2 linked regions of the Drosophila melanogaster genome follow. The protein of the gene in region 2 purifies or fractionates together with the protein of the main gene of each other region. This does not show direct contact. Each region holds a gene or a part of one and is shown on either strand. Other genes may lie near its edges. The genes, in order: smg and CG13928.

Region 1 (9,325 bases), 7.4 Mb from region 2:
TGAGCACTCCCTGACCGGGCTTAAAGATCAATTGCTGCGGTTGCTGCGGACCTCCGGCCACCAGAATAAGATTATTCAGCGACCGGCGATGCGATTGTGGTGGCGTCTGCTGAGGCAGCGCTGGAAAGTGGTTGTGTTGCTGCAACATCTGTTGCATCTGCTGGGGATGATGATGCGACTTACTAGACGGCGGCGGTGGTGGCTGCTGCTGAGGATTACCCATGAAGCTTGGGTACGAGGAGCTCTTGTACTGCGGCTGATGGGATGGACCGCCGCCATAGCCGTTGTAGTCAAACTGTGGCAGAGGCGGCGGAGCCTGCTGCGAATGATGGGGCAGCGGGTGTGGCAGGCAATTTAGCGAAAAGTTTAGCATGTCGTTGGAGTTTTTGCGGTTGTTAATCCTATCGTTGCTGCCATTTTTAGTATCGCATTTGCGAGTCTTACCATTCCATCTAAAATAACAGCTCATTTTTAAAATGCATTACTTTTTATCTTATTGAAAACCTTACCTTGGCTTGTTAATGTTCCCATTGTTTGGCCCGACGCCGGCTGGCTTGACGTGATGCATTTTGGGAACCATGGAGATCTTCATTTTGGACAACTTAAACTTCAGGTCCTTGAGTTGACTGGCGTGATTCATAAATGCCTCGTTGTGGATAGAGCGGTCTAGAATCCACATAAGCACACCCAAAGTCTCGTCGTCTTGGACAGCATACGGATCCTGCTGCAACGTATTGGTCACAATGTCAATGACCTTAAGAAAACGCAGACCAATGTTTTCCTCCGGTGGTCCTGGAGACTCCAGTGGCTTCATTGGTGTCAGCACAATATTTGTTAGCTCCTCAACCGCCGTGCTCAGCTCCATTTGACCCGATAGCAGTTCTTGTTCTACCCGGTTAAGAATATTGGCCCGTTCCTTCAGCTTATCAATGCAAAGGGCAAGCTTGTGGGAGGCGCCCTTGGTGACGCCAACACTCTGCAGAAAGTCCTCGGTGATCAAGAGCATTTCCTCGTACGTCATGTTCTTGAACAGCTCGATGTACTTGTGCAGACGCAAGGATTTTAGCCAGAGTCCGATTCCCGACATGCCCACGTTGCGCGTGTGGAACTTAATATAATTGGGCTTGAATTCATCCAGACGAGTATCGGAACCGCTGTTCATCAAGGCGCCGCGCTGATGCTCAATCGATAAGGAAAAACTACGGGGCTTGTTGGCAAACTGTGCCAGATTCTCCGTTGAATTGGAGCAGTTGTCATTGACCGTGATCACCGATGAGTTAGACGAGCTGGAACAGCTAGAGATCGTTTGCGTGGTGAGGCTGTTAGAGCGCCGCGTCTTCAGGGCTGCAATCTTGCTGTCCAGGCTCCACCGGTTGATCTCTCCAAACTGATCGCCCACGTTTCCCATAAGGATCGAGGCATAGGGAGGAGGCTGAAGCAATTGCTGCTGAAGATTCGGCGGAGGTTGCGATCGATCCTCAACAGGATTTCCACCGTTACGTCCACAAAGGCTACTGCTGGCCAGACTACAGGCCTCACCCATGTCCGCCGTCACCGGGTCAAAATCGAGAATCTCCGTGCCATTCTTGCTAAATGACGTGTCATGATCGTCGCCACCAGCGATTCCCAACATAGAGCCTGCACCAGCGACCACACCGTTGACCAGGGAAGAGCTGCCCTCCAGCGACAGGCCGAGACTGTTCTGACTAGAAGCTAATTCGTTCAGGGTAATACCATTAAGATTATCACAGAGTGGATTGATCGACCCGCTGGAGCTGCCGCCTCCATTGCCACGCCAATCACCGGCCAATTTGTTTTGCAATTGCTTGCTGGGCGGGGCGATCGTTTGCCAGTCGTTGGTGCGTGAGGAACGGCTGCCGCTTGCGGGGCACAACGAGGATGAGGCCACCGACGAACAGGATGCTGTCGAAGAGCTGGTCGCCGAAGAGGAACAGCTACCACTGCCTGTTGAGCTACCACCAGCGACCAGTTGCGGCGAGGGCTGCAGGAAGTAACTGCGATTTGTCAGGCCCGCCGCAGCCGCTTGGATATGATCCTCCAAGTGACGCAGCCAAATGTTGAGCGAACGTCTGTCCTCGCTGGTGATAGCTGGATGGATGAGTAGGTACGAGAAGATCTGCTGCACCAACTCCGTGGGCACAATTTGCTGCATGGTGTCCTTGACGGCAACTGGTATAAGGGTCAGGTAGATAAGCTTGGCCTCCTCATTGCCCGGCTTCAGCAGAGGCAGCATGTTCAGTACTTCATGCAGAATGTCCTCCTTGCGGGCATACAGCTTCCGCTCGTCACACTGCGCCGATGTGGTGATCTGGAAGTCACTGCCGTAGCATGGCATCGAGTCCTTGTCGGACGACGAGGAGGACATGGCGTCGAGCAGGTCACATGGCTGGAACGTCTTGTAGGCGTTGAGTAGATTCTGCAGGTACACCGGATTGTTGGCATTGATGTCAATAACCACGCTGCTCAGATTGGTCTGGGAGGTGCCCAGGTTCTGGGTCAGGTTGCTGTCGATAGAATACTGTAGAAACTTGAGGCTCGGGTAGCGCAGCCGCTTGAGCAGCGCGTACATCACGACGGTTCGCTCGCAGTCGTTCCACTTCTCGAAGAGATTTGTCACTGTGGTCACCTGCTCGCAAAACAGCGCATTGGACGGCTGGCTCTGGCTGGGATTGGCGTTAGAATTGGGATTGCCATTGGCGTATGTCGCCGTCGTCGTGGCCGTTGATGTGGCCTCCTTGTGGGCTGCAGTAGGCGTTGATGTGGTTGGCTGCATCTCGTTGGATGCACTGTTAGAGTTATTGGTTTGGCCGCTGATGCCGGAGGTCATCGCGTTGTCAGTTCCAGTTGCGTACTTCATCTCGTTGTTAGTTGCTTCTTGTTTTTTGGGGATAGTTCTTACTATAGTTTATGGTATTGTATTTGTTACGGCTTCTTTGTGGTTATTTGGTTGCGTTGCTGCAAGTAAAGATAACGGGGTAGGATTAATAATTGAACTATTATGTAAAGCTAAACTTTGTGACTGTGGTAATACAATTTTTTTTATGCTCAATGAGCTGTATCATTCGCTTAAAGCCTAGTTTAGCCCAATCTAATCACTTCCATAGAAAAATACCACAATTCCGAACCACGTGATCCAATCAATAGCTTCTCCCTTATTCCATGGATTTGTCGCCATTGCTCCACTCGGGATTAGAGTGCCGTGCAGCGATAATAAAATAAACTTTAAGCCGCAAATAACGTTCGAATTTAATCAAATCAGTTTTCGCTAATTTGTTAAATTTACAAGCGCAATAGCAACAACAATTATCTGTAATTGACGAATGGAAATTAGCATTTGCTTGGTCGGCTGGCTTATCAGGAAAGCAAATAAACAAGCAACAAATATATAACACCTTCGATTCGCTTTGATGGCGCAAATGACGAGGGACGATAAATCAATAAAATAACAAACATTTCAAATACGAAATCGCTGATTTCGACTTGGCGGCGTTCGGATTTTGATTTCCGGGCGGGAAAGTAGAGCGGGGGCGAGAAGTTTGGTTAGGTTGTATTTTTTTTGCACAGTTTCGCGCTTTTCATTTAGTTTCGTTTGTGCCCATTTCGAATCTTGTTTCTTCTGCCGCCGTTGCTGTTGTTGTTATTATTGCTTTTACTCTGACGACTTTCTTCGATTTTTGTTGCCGTGTTTTCACAGTAAGCACACAAAACATTGAACAAATCAACGCATGGGAGTCAAAAAATTTGAAAATTAAAGTATCTATTTTTTAATGTAAAATGTAGTTTTAAGAGAAATTGCTGCATTTTATTTTTTTATCCTGGTTTACGACATCGAGTGTTGACTGTAATCTAAGCCAGAGACAGTGTAACTGACTGTGTATTGGTACCCCAACTTAAGTTAGTGTGTGTGAGCAAGCAGTAAAACATAACGGGCCCCAATTACTGCATTTAAAGCACATTCACTGCTATGGAATTTACCGATGTTAACTTCTTTGCTATTTAACGTAACGTTTTATATGAAATTTCACATTTCCCTGCGAGACTGGGAGCGCAAAAGAGTCGTTTGGGGCGACTCGATCTAACGGTACTTGTGCATGTCGATCTTTGAGGTTATGCGTCACTGCAATTGCTGTTGTTTTCTAACCGGCTTGCAAATAAAAAAATTACCGAAGTTCAACAAAAGTTCAAAGTTCAAAGATTGCAAGCACGCACACACACGCAAACGTAAAGGATACTGCAAACTCACACGCTCTTATATATTATCGTATTTTGGCTGCCCTTTCAGCAGTCGCGATCACAGGCGCTTGGCATATTCCGAACGCTTTTATTTACATATGTACGTTGCGAATAAATTTGATTATATCTGCAAAACTGCAGATCCAACCACACAGAACAGAAGAATTGGTTTAGCACAGCGAAGCTCAGCTGAAGACGAGAAGCTGCAGTGGGGAGCACCGCGGAGGAGGAGCGGCTGATGGCGAATGATTTGGCGCTGGCGTCAGCGATTTAGAAAGAAAATGGTGGAGCTGCAGAAGCAGCGCAGCGGCAGGCAGAGCGAAACGGGCGAAAAGGAGCGCGCGCCTTTTTTTTCTGACAGGATTGATGCTGATGCTGATGCTGCTACTGCTGTCAAGAAAATGGGGAGAGCACTCACTTACACGCACACACAGACGGAGACCTTGCTGCGCTCGTCGGCAGTGGTATGTGTGCGAGTGAGAGTGACACACTGAGCAATGCACGGGCAAAATTGCGGTAAATTACATGCATTACATTTAAGGGAGAGGGGTGGGGCTCCTGCGGGGTAAGCGGGTTTTGTTGTTTTCACCACACAGAGCAGCAGCGCACAGTACACAGAACACACAAGATTGGCCCCCAAAATCACGCCCCACCCACCTAGCCACGGTCGGCCAGACAACAAAAATATATAGCTACAGTGCGCTTGTGCCAAAATTCGTTCTATTTTTCAATTACCTTTTCGCCTTCTATTCGCCTGCTGCAAACCTTGAAATTATTTTCTGTTGCAATTCACAGTTTTGATTCGATCAGCACGAGAAACGAGCATATTTCGCTAATTTGATATGCTATCGGATCGCGTATTTATTAATTTATAATTTTCACCTTTGCTCGCGCGCGCGTTTGTGTGAGTGCGTATGTGTGTACTTTTTATTAGCACTTTTGGGCTTTAGCGTTGTTGTTTTTGCTAAACCATTACTTTTTTTTAGACACACAATTCATGGCGCTTACGCTCACAAACGCCCGATTACTGAGTACTGCGCACGGTTGCTGTTGCACTTGGTCGGATGCATGTTTCGCCAGCTAATCCATTTTTTCAGCAATTAATTAATTATTTATTCACGCGAACGCAGCGTTGCTAGTGCTGGAACAAAAATCGATGTGTACTCGATACAGTCGATCTTTCTTGCAAGCGGTTATCGGTTACTTTCCCTTGGTGATGGACGCTCAGTTGAGCAGCAAAGCTGCCCTAGGTTCGATGCCGTGCTCATGCAGCGCGGACTCAAACCACGGTTTTAGCTAGAAAATTGCCAACAAAAATGATCTCCGCGCTTTGGCCTATTTCTGTGGTTATTTGACAGTAAGCGGAGACGGTGACACTGTACCACCAATTGGAACAAAATAAGGATATTTTCTTTTTGCATTTTGCTCGATATGCAATGCAGAAAATATCCAGCGAGGCTCTGAATCAAGGCTCTGGGATAGCGTTCAGCTCGAGGAAGTGATTGAAACGATAAATACATCCCGGAACGGCCACAATCCCGACAAAAACAAACGCTCTGGTCAACAACAATACATCATCAACAAAATTCTTTCAACCTGCTGCAGAGCAAAATGTTTGCCCAAAACCAAAAGGCCAGCTTCCTGGAGCAGACAAAGGCGGCGCGGGAGGAGCGGGCACTGGAAAAGCGACGCGAACAGGCGGCCATCCTGCTGCAGTCCACGCTCAAGGGATATGCGGCGCGTAGGAAGTACCAGAAACGAATCATGTAAGTGTCTATCTACTTTTATGGAACATCCTAAATAGTAACCCGTTTTGCAGACTCGATTTCGATGCCATGTTCACTGAGAATCATGACGATAAGGATGCGGAACTGGAACTCGTGGCAAGCAACGTCTATCCGGTGCTTCGTCGCTACCTCACCCAGATCAGGCTGGACAAGAGCGATGTGCGTGCACGGGAGCGTCTGGAGCGCATCTGCCGTTACATCATCAAGGCAATGGAGTCGGAGAACACCAAGCTATCCTATGCCGCCCTCTGTCTTTTTAAGGAACGCAGCCTGCCCTGGATCGCGCACATCAAGATACTGCTCACGAACTGCCTGACATTGCTGCCGGAGCTGAAGCCGGAAAACCATGCCGACAGCTTGTCCCTTGCCCTATTTCTGCACACACTGGTAGTCTTCACGGCGCCCAAATCCTGGGCGATACTCAGGAATGCCCAGTTTGAGAAACTGCAGCCGGCCATGCAAAAAATCTGTTGTAATATTCAAGGTCATCTGGTGCAGCACGATTTTTACAAAATCATGCGGGTATGTTGTGACTTTTATTCTTTTAATAAGCTTATTCATGTTATTCTCCATATTATCATCCAGCTCGTTTTGATACGCGGCACTGTTCGCGAGGAGTTGTCTGTAAAGCCCGTCACCCTGGTGGCCATCATTACACTTTGCCTTCGTCCCCTGATCGATGGCAACTTCAGTCGTAATCTACTGGCAAAGTTTCTGTCGGAGATTCTGTCTGTGCCCGCTTTAATCTACCATCTGCAACAGAGTGTACCTCAGTGCCTGGAACAGTTCTCATCGATGGGACTGCTTAAGAAGGCGCTTAGCATTTCGGGGGACGTGCAGTGGTTCGAGGAGTTCGGCACTAGCATGCCGGGCACCAAGTCCCTGGCTTTTCTGGGAAACATAGTGAATTTGTTCAATATCGATGGCCAAGGGGAGTCCAAGGAGTTGGCCTATCCACTACTGACTGTGAGTTTTACATAAACGCTTCTTGATTGAAAAACTTATACTTGTAATCCTTATAGGAAACCACCACATCGCTGTTGGAACTAATACCCAACACGGTGACCACTAAGGGAGTATTTACTCAGTGGCACGAGCTTTTAGGATGGCATACTCCGGGTCCGGAGCCTGCTCAAAATCAGAATGTGGCGCTGATTAAGAAGCAGTTCCACATGTTGTGGGATCATCGCTGCATAAAACTGTTGCTCGGAGATCTCTTGAAGCAAATCAATCTTAACTACGAGCGGATCGAGTTTCAATCTCCCCAACAACCATCTATATCGAATCTGCTGCGTCGGGCCTTGGAGCGCAGCTCCACGAGAGGTGTAAACTTAATGGGAGTGGCGAGCAGCAAGCAGTCTAAGCAGCAGTGGCGCAAGCTCGACAGTGCGGAGGTGGTGCAGGTGTCACGAATCTGCGGCATGTATTATGCCGCCCTCAACACGCTTTCCCAGATGAAACTGGACATTCTGACTGGCATTTGCTACAGCGACAATGTGCTATATGATATTTGGTTGCTAATCACGTCCCTTGGCCCCAATTGTGGCATGAAGGAGTACTTGGAGCTGCTGAAGTCCGAAACAAACTTGCAAAAGCCACAGACCGCCATGCTGATGCTCTTTTGCGACTGCATGACGCACTACGTAACGTATGTAGATTCATTTTAAAACTGAACTTAGTTTTAAAACATGTAAAACCATCTCTGTAGGATTCTGGATGAACACGAAATGTACACGGAGCAGAATCCTTTCAAACTCAACGACTACGTGTTGCTGACCTACTTCCTTAATAATATTCTCTATAAACTTATTAACGATAATCTTCTGGGTAAGTCTGCTTTAATCTAATTTAATTAGTTTTCCCTAGTTAGTCTAAATGCAGCGGCTATAAATAAGCAATTAATATTTAATAGAATCAGAAAATAATTATATTTAATTGACTGAAAATGTTAAATGCATTTTGCAATCTCCAGCAGGTGCCAAGAACATTGTCCAGCATCCGGTTTTCCTCTCGCTGCACACTCTGATGCTTTGCTTGTACCGCCGCGATTGTCGTCGCCCATTCACGCCACCCAAACACTGGCTGATACCAGAGGTGAAACCCTCCACGTTCATCAATGACCTGGAAAAGGCCAAGAGGAATGCGATGCTGCTGCTCGCCAAGATGCCGCACATTATACCGCACGAGGATCGGGTCAAGTTGTTCCGAAAGTTCGTGCAGAATGAGAAGGCGGTGATGGGTCTGACGGAGAGTGCCTGCGCCTCACCTCGATCCGCACTAATTGTCATTCATCGCGATCGTATTGTGGAGGATGGCTACCGGCAACTGGCCGCCCAGCCCACGCAAGCCCTAAAAGGTGTTATCCGCGTGCGTTTTATCAATCAACAAGGACTGCACGAGGCAGGAATTGATCAGGATGGAGTGTTCAAGGAATTCCTTGAGGAGACCATCAAAAAGGTGTTCGACCCGTCGCTGAATCTCTTTAAAACCACCTCGGATCAGCGATTATATCCCTCGCCCATTTCCTACGTCCAGGACAATCATTTGGAGCTCTTTGAGTTTGTGGGCCGCATGCTGGGCAAGGCGGTGTACGAGGGCATCGTGGTGGACGTGCCGTTTGCCTCCTTCTTCCTCTCCCAGCTGCTCGGCCAGACGCAACAGGCCCTGTACTCCTGCATGGACGAGCTGCCGTCGCTGGACAACGAGTTGTATCGCAGTCTTACCTTCATCAAACACTATAAGCAGGATGTGTCCGATCTGAACCTTACCTTTTCCGTGGACCAGGATGTAATGGGCAAAATTGTCACGCTCGCTTTGCATCCGGGTGGCAAGGCGCGTGTGGTTAATGACCACAACAAGCTGGTCTACATACACTACATGGCCTTTTTCCACATGAACACCCAGATACGCGAGCAGACGATAGCTTTCAATCGTGGCTTCCGCAGCATCGTCAATCCAGAATGGTTGTCTCTTTTCTCGCCTCCCGAATTGCAGCGCCTTATTTCTGGGGACACTAGTCCATTGGACTTAAAGGATCTGCAAAAGCATACGCATTACTACGGTGGCTTCCACGACACTCATCAAGTGGTCTGCTGGCTCTGGGATATCCTGGCCAAGGATTTCACCGAGGAGGAGCGCAAGCTGTTCCTAAAGGTATGTCATTCATAGTTCAAGTCAAATTGGTGCCACTAACCAGCCGAGTTCAACTTTTCAGTTTGTCACCAGCTGCTCAAAGCCGCCGCTTTTGGGTTTCGCCCACCTGGAGCCACCATTCTCGATTCGTT
Region 2 (9,325 bases):
AACAAGCTTTGAAAATGCCTCAAACTACATACATATACGAATACAATATAAGCCGTCGTCTGCTTGAATATAGGTTTTGATATTGGTTACGGTTAAGTACTTAATGTGATAGGTAGTCGCACACGCGTCGTAGTAGAATCTCCGTAGGTCTGGTCGATCCGTAGGATCCCCACACCCCGGAAGTGAGTTGGAAAATGAAGATGAAGGGAGAACCTCGGTGCCTGGATTGACTGGGTTGAATGTTTGATTGGTAAATGGTTTAAATACGCGCCTGAATAACCGCTTTCGGTGTGTGTGTGTGTGTGTGTGTGTGTGTGAGTGTCTCTTTAAGTACGTTTAGTTGGTTTCCTTAGTTTTCTCGTTTTGTTTTCGGTTTACTTTAATTTAAGTACGACAGTAATGCATAAATGACTAATATTTTTTGCTTCACATCTATTTTACTTGTGAGTTTGCCATTAAAATACTTTTGGTTTTCTTTATCGATTTCATTTCGTTATTTACGCAACGCTAAAACATTTTAAAATGCATTTTCAAAGTTAATTCAATAAATATGCTCTTGGTTTTCCATTAGATAGGTTCTGTAAGCTTTTAAAGATCTAGACAATGTTTTCGAGTGTCGAAAATTAGCATACAATGGGGGCACATAGTTGCTCCTCCGTCTGCTGCTCCATCAATCAGCCCAAGTCGGCGCACTCGGGGGAATCCGCGGTGTGCTGCAGTCCGTATAGCAACCCTTGTTTGCCAGGCCGCGATGCAGTTCCTCCTCTTCCTCCTCCTCCTGCTGCTGCTGCTCGTAATCATTCATCCGCTCCCTGCGCAGGCGCACTCTCTCCCTTGGCTACCTGCTCTCCAGCTGCTCATCCTCCTCATCCTGCTCAGCCTGTCCTATGCTCCTGCTTCACCCTCGCCCGGTCACCGCTCTCCCGGCTGCCGGGCCCGTTCCTCTAGAGGCGATTCTGGTTGAGCTGGGAGCGCGGAGTGAAGGGACTGACCATCACGCCGCTGGGCCAGATGGCCTCGTTGAAGAGCTCGTTGAAGCGGTAGTCCGGAATGGAGATCTTGAACTTGCAGTACGACAACTGCGACAGGTTGGCATCGTTCTTCACCAGCTTGGTGCACTTGACCAGGTTCTTGTTGATCTTCAGCTCCTCGGCCAGGTGATCGATCACGTCCTCCTCGCTGGTGTTCGTGGCGAACTTGCCCACCTGCACCCAGCGCCCGTAGTCGCAGACCACTTGCAGTCGGTCGGAGTTACAATTGTTTCCTACCACAATGAGGTTGTTCTGCTGCGGATGCTTCTTCCCGTCCAGTCCGCCACCCAGGCCGCCGCCACCCACGCCGGCGGCCGAGGCGCCCAATGCCTGAAGCGGCTGGTTGCCAAACTGGAAGTACTGCTGGTACATACGGCCCTGGATCTGGTTGACCCCGTTGCACACCTTATTGACCTTTTCCTCGATGGTGTGCAGCTTGGCCGCGAAGGCTCGTGGCGACTGGTTTTTGCACTCGTCGCAGTGAAAGGATATCATCGAGTTCTTCTGGATCGCCTCGAAGACCGCGTCGTCGATGTTGACGCACGTGCGGTGGTACCTTCTCCGGCAGTCCTCGCCGCTGCACCCGATGCTCGTGGCCTCCTTGGCGGCGATCGATTTTTTGCACTTTGGGCAGTTATTGTTGTCGGCCATGGTGACTTTGGTTGGTTGATTGGTTAGTTGGCTGGCTGGTTAGTTGGTTGGTGACTATCGATTTCGATTCTGAATCCGAACCCGAGTCTGATTCAAGCAGGCGGAAAAAGAGAATTCGAACTTTCAGGAAAAAACACACGCACACTGTGGAGTCACACAGTGGGTATATACACTACGGCCACAGCAACAACGGCAACAGCAGCAGGCAGCAGCAATAACAACAAGCGAGAAATTCGAGCGAAAGTCGCCTCCTCTCCGCTCCACCCTCTCTCACTCTTCTTCCTGTGTCTGCGTCCGTGTGTGTGTGTGTGTGTGGCGAGTGCTGTGTGTGTGTGTGCGGGAAGAGTGCTGAAATCGGGAAAGAGAAAACACGCAGACGACCGAAACTTGACAACCGCACGCTCCGAAGTTTGCAGACTGACTGTGCGCGAGCCACCGATTGCGTTTCCGAATTCGAGACCAGGTCCGCCGATTCGGATTCGGAATAGAAGTCGGAATCGGATACACTCGGCACACCGTGCAATCCCAACACCACATGCAACCCCCGATAAAGCTGCCACGCCAGGGGTGGCTTTAACCACTATTCTCGCCATATGATTGACCAGCCGCCGACCCGACTGGCAACCAGTTTTGTTCTCGCCAGCACTCACCCCCAGTGCCACTCGATTGGGGCTCCTCTGCACGACAGTGTTGGAAATAGGGGTAAGTGCAGTGTGTGCAGTAGAAGGATTGAAACACCGTTACACCAGTGATTTTAAGGTTATATGTTTTTTTCACATTTTATACATTTGTATATTTAACTGGCCAGATTGATGAAACATAATATAATCTTGGATATGATATGTTAGCATAACATTTTTACTGTAGTTTGGCATCGCTTTTATGCTGTATAATTATAAATCGCATATTCTAAAGATTTGTATTGTATATGATAGATTGTCCTTGAATGTGGAACTAGAATTCCAAAATAATACTTTAAATACTACCATGCTTTCGGAAGTAGCAATAACTTTACTTATAGTACAAATCGTACGAAGAGCACTACTTACTTTGTGTTGTTATGGCCAATTAAAGCGGAAATGGGGTCAACTTTACATACAAGTCGTTATATCAAATCCCCGGCTTACAGTCACTTCTGCTCTGCTCACAATCGCTTTTCAAGGCAATTAATCAAATTCACACCCGTAATTTGCTGCAGTTGGGGCAGTAATTGGGGCCGTTATACTGCTCCCTGCAGCGCGCCACCCGCCGAGTGCAACTGGCAACAGTTGGCCGTTTCCCGGATGAACTCTCACCTGCGGACGCAGCGACTGGGAAAAGGGAATCGCGAGCAACACGGTCCGCCAACTGAGGCTGTGCGCACGAGCTGCGTGGTATTTATACGCCACTCTGCTCCACTCGGAGATGTGTCCCTTCTGCTTTTCCTTTCCCTAATCCTTGGTGTCGCAGAGGGGATGATGGCCAAGTGATGTGGGCGGAAGTGGGGGTGTTTGCGCATGTCCTTGCCGGGAAATGGCATCGAAGTTGATAACAATAAACAAGTGATTTTTCGTTGACTGCGAGTTGAGACCTCAGAGTTACCAGGAATGCAGGGACTTACAATTATGCATTTTTCAAATCGATTTTTAAATATGTTAGCACATATCAAGTATACATACGAGTGGAACTCGCAATTTAAATCTATAAAATTTGTAGAACACCAACTATTTGAATAGCAAGTTTCTAATAGAAACCAATATACCCCTGGGAAAAAGTTGGGAGGTGTTAGAATGGCAGGAAAATGCAAATAAAATTTGCAGGTGCTGCGGCAGCAGCTGTTATTGTTTGCCATCCGCCGCCAGGATTTGCCTGGCGGACACCTGCGGTAATTGGGTTTCATTAAGTGCTGGTTGCCGGGCGGCTTTGGTCCTGTTCCGTCGCAGGGGCCATCGATTCCTTTGTGGAGCCTTGTTAGCGCCGCTCCAATTTCGCGTCGCCTGCATTGTCAATAGATTTTAATCAGGTGTGGCAAGTGTGTGTGTGTGTGTGGTAAATAGGCGCCTGGTGCTCCCCCACTTGTCTGACATAAGCGTAGGCTCCCCACCGCAGACGGGTTTCTATTTCCATTACCCTGTTTGCACGCTGTCTGCGCCCCAATTGGTATTTATGTATGCAGACCAAGTGCGCAGTTTAGTGCGCTGGATAGTATGCTACACTTTTTGTGTGCTCCTATTTTTAGGCAGCGCATCCTTTGTCGCCCAATTTGGGAGTTAATCTGGTTCACGAGCTTGGAGAACATGTCAGCATTGGGAAATTTCCACATAATTAATATTTAAAACAATGAAGTTATTGTTTTCATTTAAATACCCACCTACTTCAATCAATATGCTTACCCAGCTTTAGAAAACACGTTGGTTTTGTTTTTATTTATTTATTTAAATAATTATGTATTTTCGGGGTGCAATTAATCATTAAATTAATTAGTAATATTATTGTTTATATACGGTTCATATATATATATACTCTCATTAGCCGTCTGTTGCTTTCGGGGATTCTTATAGAGTTTTTCTTTGTTTTGTGTGTCCGTCTTGGTAGACGGGAATTACTTCGGAATTACTCCGCCGCCCAAAAGGACTCCGGGAAATCGCAATGCGATGCCAGGAGCTCCAGTGGGCTCTCCGTACTCAGGGGCTTCATGGGTGTTGTTTCTGTGTATACAATTGTTTTCTTTTCGGGTCTGCTTAAAATCCAAACAAAAATCGAAACTCTTCTAAACATTTGTCATTGGTTATTACATACATATATTGATTTATATCTGTTAATGGTTATATGCATGTGAAGTGCCTGGGTGAGTTGAGATGGACATTGAACGAGATTGATTCTAATAAGCTTTAAGGGCGACATATTGTACACGCTACGAATATTGCTAAAAATACCTGCATTCGGATTTGGAATTGGATTTCGATTTCGTTTTCGCCATTAATCTTTGGTTTTTTCTCTAATTAATTTCGATTTTGTTCGTGCCCCAATGTGTTGGTAGGCAAAGCACTTTGGGCAGGCGCTTGTAGAATCAATTAGTTAATACATTAAACGTACTGTATGCTGTATCTTCAGAACAAGTTGGGTACAATATGTGCTGAGAGCTGTGGCTCTCTGAATCTGAATCTGAATCTGAATCTGATCCTGAATCAGATTCTGATTCTGATCCTGATTGGCTATCGGTTGTGATGGGGGCAATGTGTTCGGGTGGAGTGTGTGAGATCTAGATATCATATCGTTACATACACGTACATATATATGCTCTAATTACCGCCTCGTCTATTACTCGTAACATTGAAATATACAAACATATATGTATGCCTCGTCGAGCTAACTAAGTCCTGTGGATAACCAACGTATTTTGTGTCTAGCGCTTAATTTAATCGTTGAACTGTCTGGATTCCGCTTTCAATCGAACCTTTCGAGCTATTCTCAAACACAACAGTAATGATAGCGCGCACGTAAACAAAACGCAGCAAATGAATCGCTTGTATATTTTCACTAGACTTTGGGATTATTAGCTTTTGCTGCTGGCTTCATTTCTTTTTTGTTTGTTGTTTTTTTTTCCAGCCGACTACGCTTGCTGTTTTTGTATAAGTAAACTTGCTTGAAAACATTTAACTGCCTTTTCTCTGGCGGCCCGTCGATTCAAATTCATCTTTTTGGATTATACATTTCGAATATCATATTTGCGTAACTTTACTTAGGAACAAAGCTTAGATTTCATTTCTTTGGTTTCGCGTCTGTTCCGAAATAGTTATGATTCTGTTAGTTTTGTCTAGTCGATTTGCTAAGGAAACTGAGTTCAAAGAGCTGCGAACATCGGGAAGCGACCGCCTGTCCTCCTGCTTCCACTGGCGCTCCTTGTTGCCAGTGCAGCGTAGAGATGCTAGTTCCGTATAGGGTGGTAGTACAGGGTAGTGGTTGGAGTCACTCGTAATATTCAAGTTCCATATATTTGTATTTGTATTTAGATTTGTATTTATATTTATAATTATATATACCGTTTTATGCATGAAATAATGTAACCATAAACAAATTAGCAACAACTTCAAATTGTCCGGAGCGTCTGCATTAGATTTAGTATTAATATTATGACGTAAGTTACTTAAAACCTCTCACACCAACTCGTGCACATCGTCTAAGTGAAAATTATTATTGAGTTTTCATTGCAATTCTCGAGATTTTCTAGTTTAACTGAGTTTTCCTTTCTTGGTTTTCTTTTGTCTTCTCTGCTTTGTTTTCGCCCGCTGAAGGAGCACACTAATCGAGAAACTTTCGTCCTGGCAGCGGGATTGCTTACACGCCGCCGTGATCGCCAGCTCCTGCCGATCCTCCTGCTCCTGCTCCGTCTCCTGCTCCTGCCGCATCCACCAGCGATGACTGTCCTCCGGCTGGCTGCTGCGGTGGCGGCGGCGGTGGCTGCATGTACTGTGGGGGATACTGGTACTGTGGCGGCTGCTCCCCGCCTATGAGTCCAAGTTTATCTGTTTTAAAATGATGCAAGAATTAGTAGGGCACGACATGTGATGGCTCTTTGCGCTCTTTAGCCAATCTCAGACAACGATACACGAGTATACGCCAAAAATATTACACTTCAAGGCTTAAAAGCTCACTCATGACGGAATATAGCAAGTGGACATGGGATGTGGACGGTGGGTGGGGGCGGACAGCAGGGACAACTGCATCGAACAGGTATGGATATATATATATATATATACATATATATTTATGTACATTTAGGCAGTCACTGGAAGCTGTCTTCCTTTGAGCCTCCCGAAGAGAAGTCCTCTCGCTTTTGGTGCAATAAACTTAGGCCAATTTTAAAATACATACAACATTGAATTGTAAAAATCAAATAATAAGGCACTAATCACACATAGACATCGATTAACTCACATACATGCGGCTAAGGCTGGCGGTAAACGATGAGACACCGTTTACAGCCAGCCGAAATAATATAAAACCAGAGGAACGGCGGAAACGGAAGTGGGAGCACAAACGGAAACGGAAGTAAGAAGAAGCGCAGGTGTCAAATTACTGGGTATGATTATTTGCATTGATATGTTGCCGTTTTTTCGTTTGCTTACAGTGTATCGGATTAGATCGATTTTGTCAATGGTACAAAGAAAGTGTGAAATGTTTTCTTTTCGATTTTGATTAATTTTGACTATGGTTCTACGGATGCGTCTTGGTGGTTAATCGATGGCTGATTAGTTTGGTTGGTTGGTTGGTTGGTTGGTTGGTTGAATGTTGGTTTTCAAGAGAGATCGTGAGCGTTCTATTGTCCAGTCGCCACTTCATTCGACGGACTCTGTGGGTGGTCGGTCAATTTCTCGGCCAATGGTTTCTCGAGTGTCGGTGGTTCAGATTTTAGATTTTGTGTATGGTGGTGTGGTTGTAGTTGTTGTTCTTGTTGTTGTAGTAGTTGTGGTGGTGGTGGTGGTGCTGAATCAGGTGCAGTTGCCGATGCCGGAGCCACCTGCTGCTGCAAGGCAGGAGGCTGCGGAGCAGCATTATCATCCGACATGTACGGTTCTACGAGAAATTTTTCGGTGAGTTCATGTTGTTGTTTAATTCAAATCGATTTGTTTTCAAAGCGAGCAGATAAAGATGATAACAATAAAGTATAAATATAGAAACGGTTTTGAGCGATGTAAAACAAAGGATTTATCAACTGGTGCACCTAGCAATAAATGTGGCGTATGAGTAATAAATAAAAGATTGCTCTCGCTGTTTACCTCACACACAAAGTGTTATATTGGGTAAATTGATTTGCTTATGGTTAATAAAATTGTACAAAGCTGAAGCTTTCTGTGTGATTATTCTTCGTCTTTCTCTGTAATTGTTCAAAAATATGGTTCGGTGTTGAGAGTGTGTCAAATCAAGGTGAAAACATTAAAAAAAAACTTAGGTAAATGAAGAAGAATGGCAGTACTTTATGCTTTTGCTGTGGTTCAGTGGCACAAGAAAGGCTGGCTTTTCCAATCCGAAGGCCGTTGCGCTTGCGTGGAGGCTTAGTAACGAGTAACGAGTAACGAGTTGCGTGAAGGCTTAGTATTGAGTAACGAGTTACGAGAAGGGACTACTTTTACTGGGGAAGTGGATTCAAGTTTTGTATTTTACACAGGACATGGCACAGTCGTGTGTCTGTGGCTGGGGTGCTGCTGCCAATATCAGAACGAAACAAACGAAAAACGGATACGGATACGGATACGGTTAACGAAACACTGAACAAACCACAAACTTTACGATTACGGCTTACGGGAGTTAGAACTAGCTAGCTAGAACTTAAGGTCCTACGGATAAGGCTAACGGGCACCATTGAGTATCGGTCCATCTCCGCCAGATCGGCTTCTGGCCGGGGTCCTTCCATTGTCGTCCAGACCCTCAGCCGCAACCCACATGGACGGAGCTGGCGGATCCGATACTCGGCGTGATCTCAACTTGATTACTGGTGGTGGTTAGGCAACGTAACGAAACGAAACAACACAGGACACGACTTTCAGTGGGCATCAAATGAAATCTTTACCGAACCTGTGCGTATGCTCGTATGGAACCAGATGATGTTGGGCTTGGGCATACATGGTACACAATACAAATACTCGCATATGTATGCCACTTAGCATTTAGTTATTGTTCTAGTGGTGGCTGAAGCGCATGACATGATATGATCGATCGATCTATAGTTATGGGAATTTCGCAAGGCATCTAGGTCGAATCGGTTGAGCGAACGGTCAGTTGGACTGTGAGTTCGCAGCTCTACTCATAGCAGTTGTGAATGAGTTGAATTTGGTTTCGGTTTTGGTTTCGATTTGGATTTCGATTGGTTCTTATTGGGTTGATTGATTGGCTTTTGATTTGGTTTCGATTTGCATTGCATTGCGGCTAAGAACTAAATTCTTACGGATTAGATAGTTAGCAATCTACATAAAGTTACCTAGAGAAAAAAAGTGGCGGAATTAAGAACGCAATTTAGATTCGGTGTGTAGATAAACGAAAGCGATTTGGGCCAACGAAATCAGCGCTAAATCAAGGCGAACTCAAAAGACAAACACAACTGGGTAACTGGGTGATCTTGAAAGTATCTTCGGTTCTGTGTGTGCGTGGTGAGTCGAGTGGTGTGGTGTGGTGTGGCGTGGGTCAAGGTCAGTTTCTCTGGGGTATGTGTGTCCCAGAAATGAGTGCACCAAGTTCGCCCAGGATCTGTCAACTTACTTGCAATAATGCCCACGACAACCAGGCCAATCACGCCCATGATGATCATCATCTGTGCGGAGAAAACAAAGATTGAAGTTCGGTCCGACAAGGTAACTGCCATCGTCGCACTTACCTTTAAGTTCTGAAGCCAGAATTTCCTCTTGAGCTTGCCCGCCTGCTGCTCAAACTGCGAGGCACCCTGCTGCAAGGCATCGGCACGGTCGTCCAGCTCCGACAGCTTGCTGTCGCGCTCCAGCACCTTCTCCACGTTCGTGCGCATGATGTCCACGACCTGGTCGGGGATTCAGGGTTGCAGTGGTTAATGGAATGGCTGATCTGTGATCGACTTTCAGTCCCGGAACTCACCTCATCGACCTGCGCCTGCGTCTGCTGCAGACGCTTCTGTGCCGCGATCTGCTGCGGAT

What was found.
Region 1: the proteins of CG13928 (region 2) and smg purify together in Drosophila melanogaster (affinity purification with western blotting, with the first as the bait; one study listed by BioGRID). This does not show direct contact.

What each region holds. Positions count from the first base shown.
Region 1 is NT_037436.4:8,992,590-9,001,914, forward strand, and holds the start of smg (smaug), read right to left. Parts: upstream 4,506-9,325; 5' UTR 4,265-4,505; intron 3,983-4,264; exon of another isoform or gene 3,893-3,982; intron 3,661-3,892; exon of another isoform or gene 3,473-3,660; intron 3,329-3,472; exon of another isoform or gene 3,134-3,328; intron 2,977-3,133; 5' UTR 2,879-2,976; coding exon 510-2,878; intron 453-509; coding exon 1-452. Other genes in the region: CG5087 (uncharacterized protein), read left to right, coding at 5,866-6,020, 6,074-6,563, 6,627-7,007, 7,064-7,689, 7,750-7,868, 8,014-9,194, 9,256-9,325. UniProt on the Drosophila melanogaster protein: Translation regulator that binds to the 3'-UTR of specific mRNAs such as nanos (nos) and prevents their translation. Prevents translation of unlocalized nanos in the bulk cytoplasm via the recruitment of cup.
Region 2 is NT_037436.4:1,626,268-1,635,592, forward strand, and holds the start of CG13928 (uncharacterized protein), read right to left. Parts: upstream 2,111-9,325; 5' UTR 1,683-2,110; coding exon 945-1,682; 3' UTR 1-944. Other genes in the region: nSyb (neuronal synaptobrevin), read right to left, coding at 6,982-7,238, 8,919-8,970, 9,034-9,192, 9,267-9,325.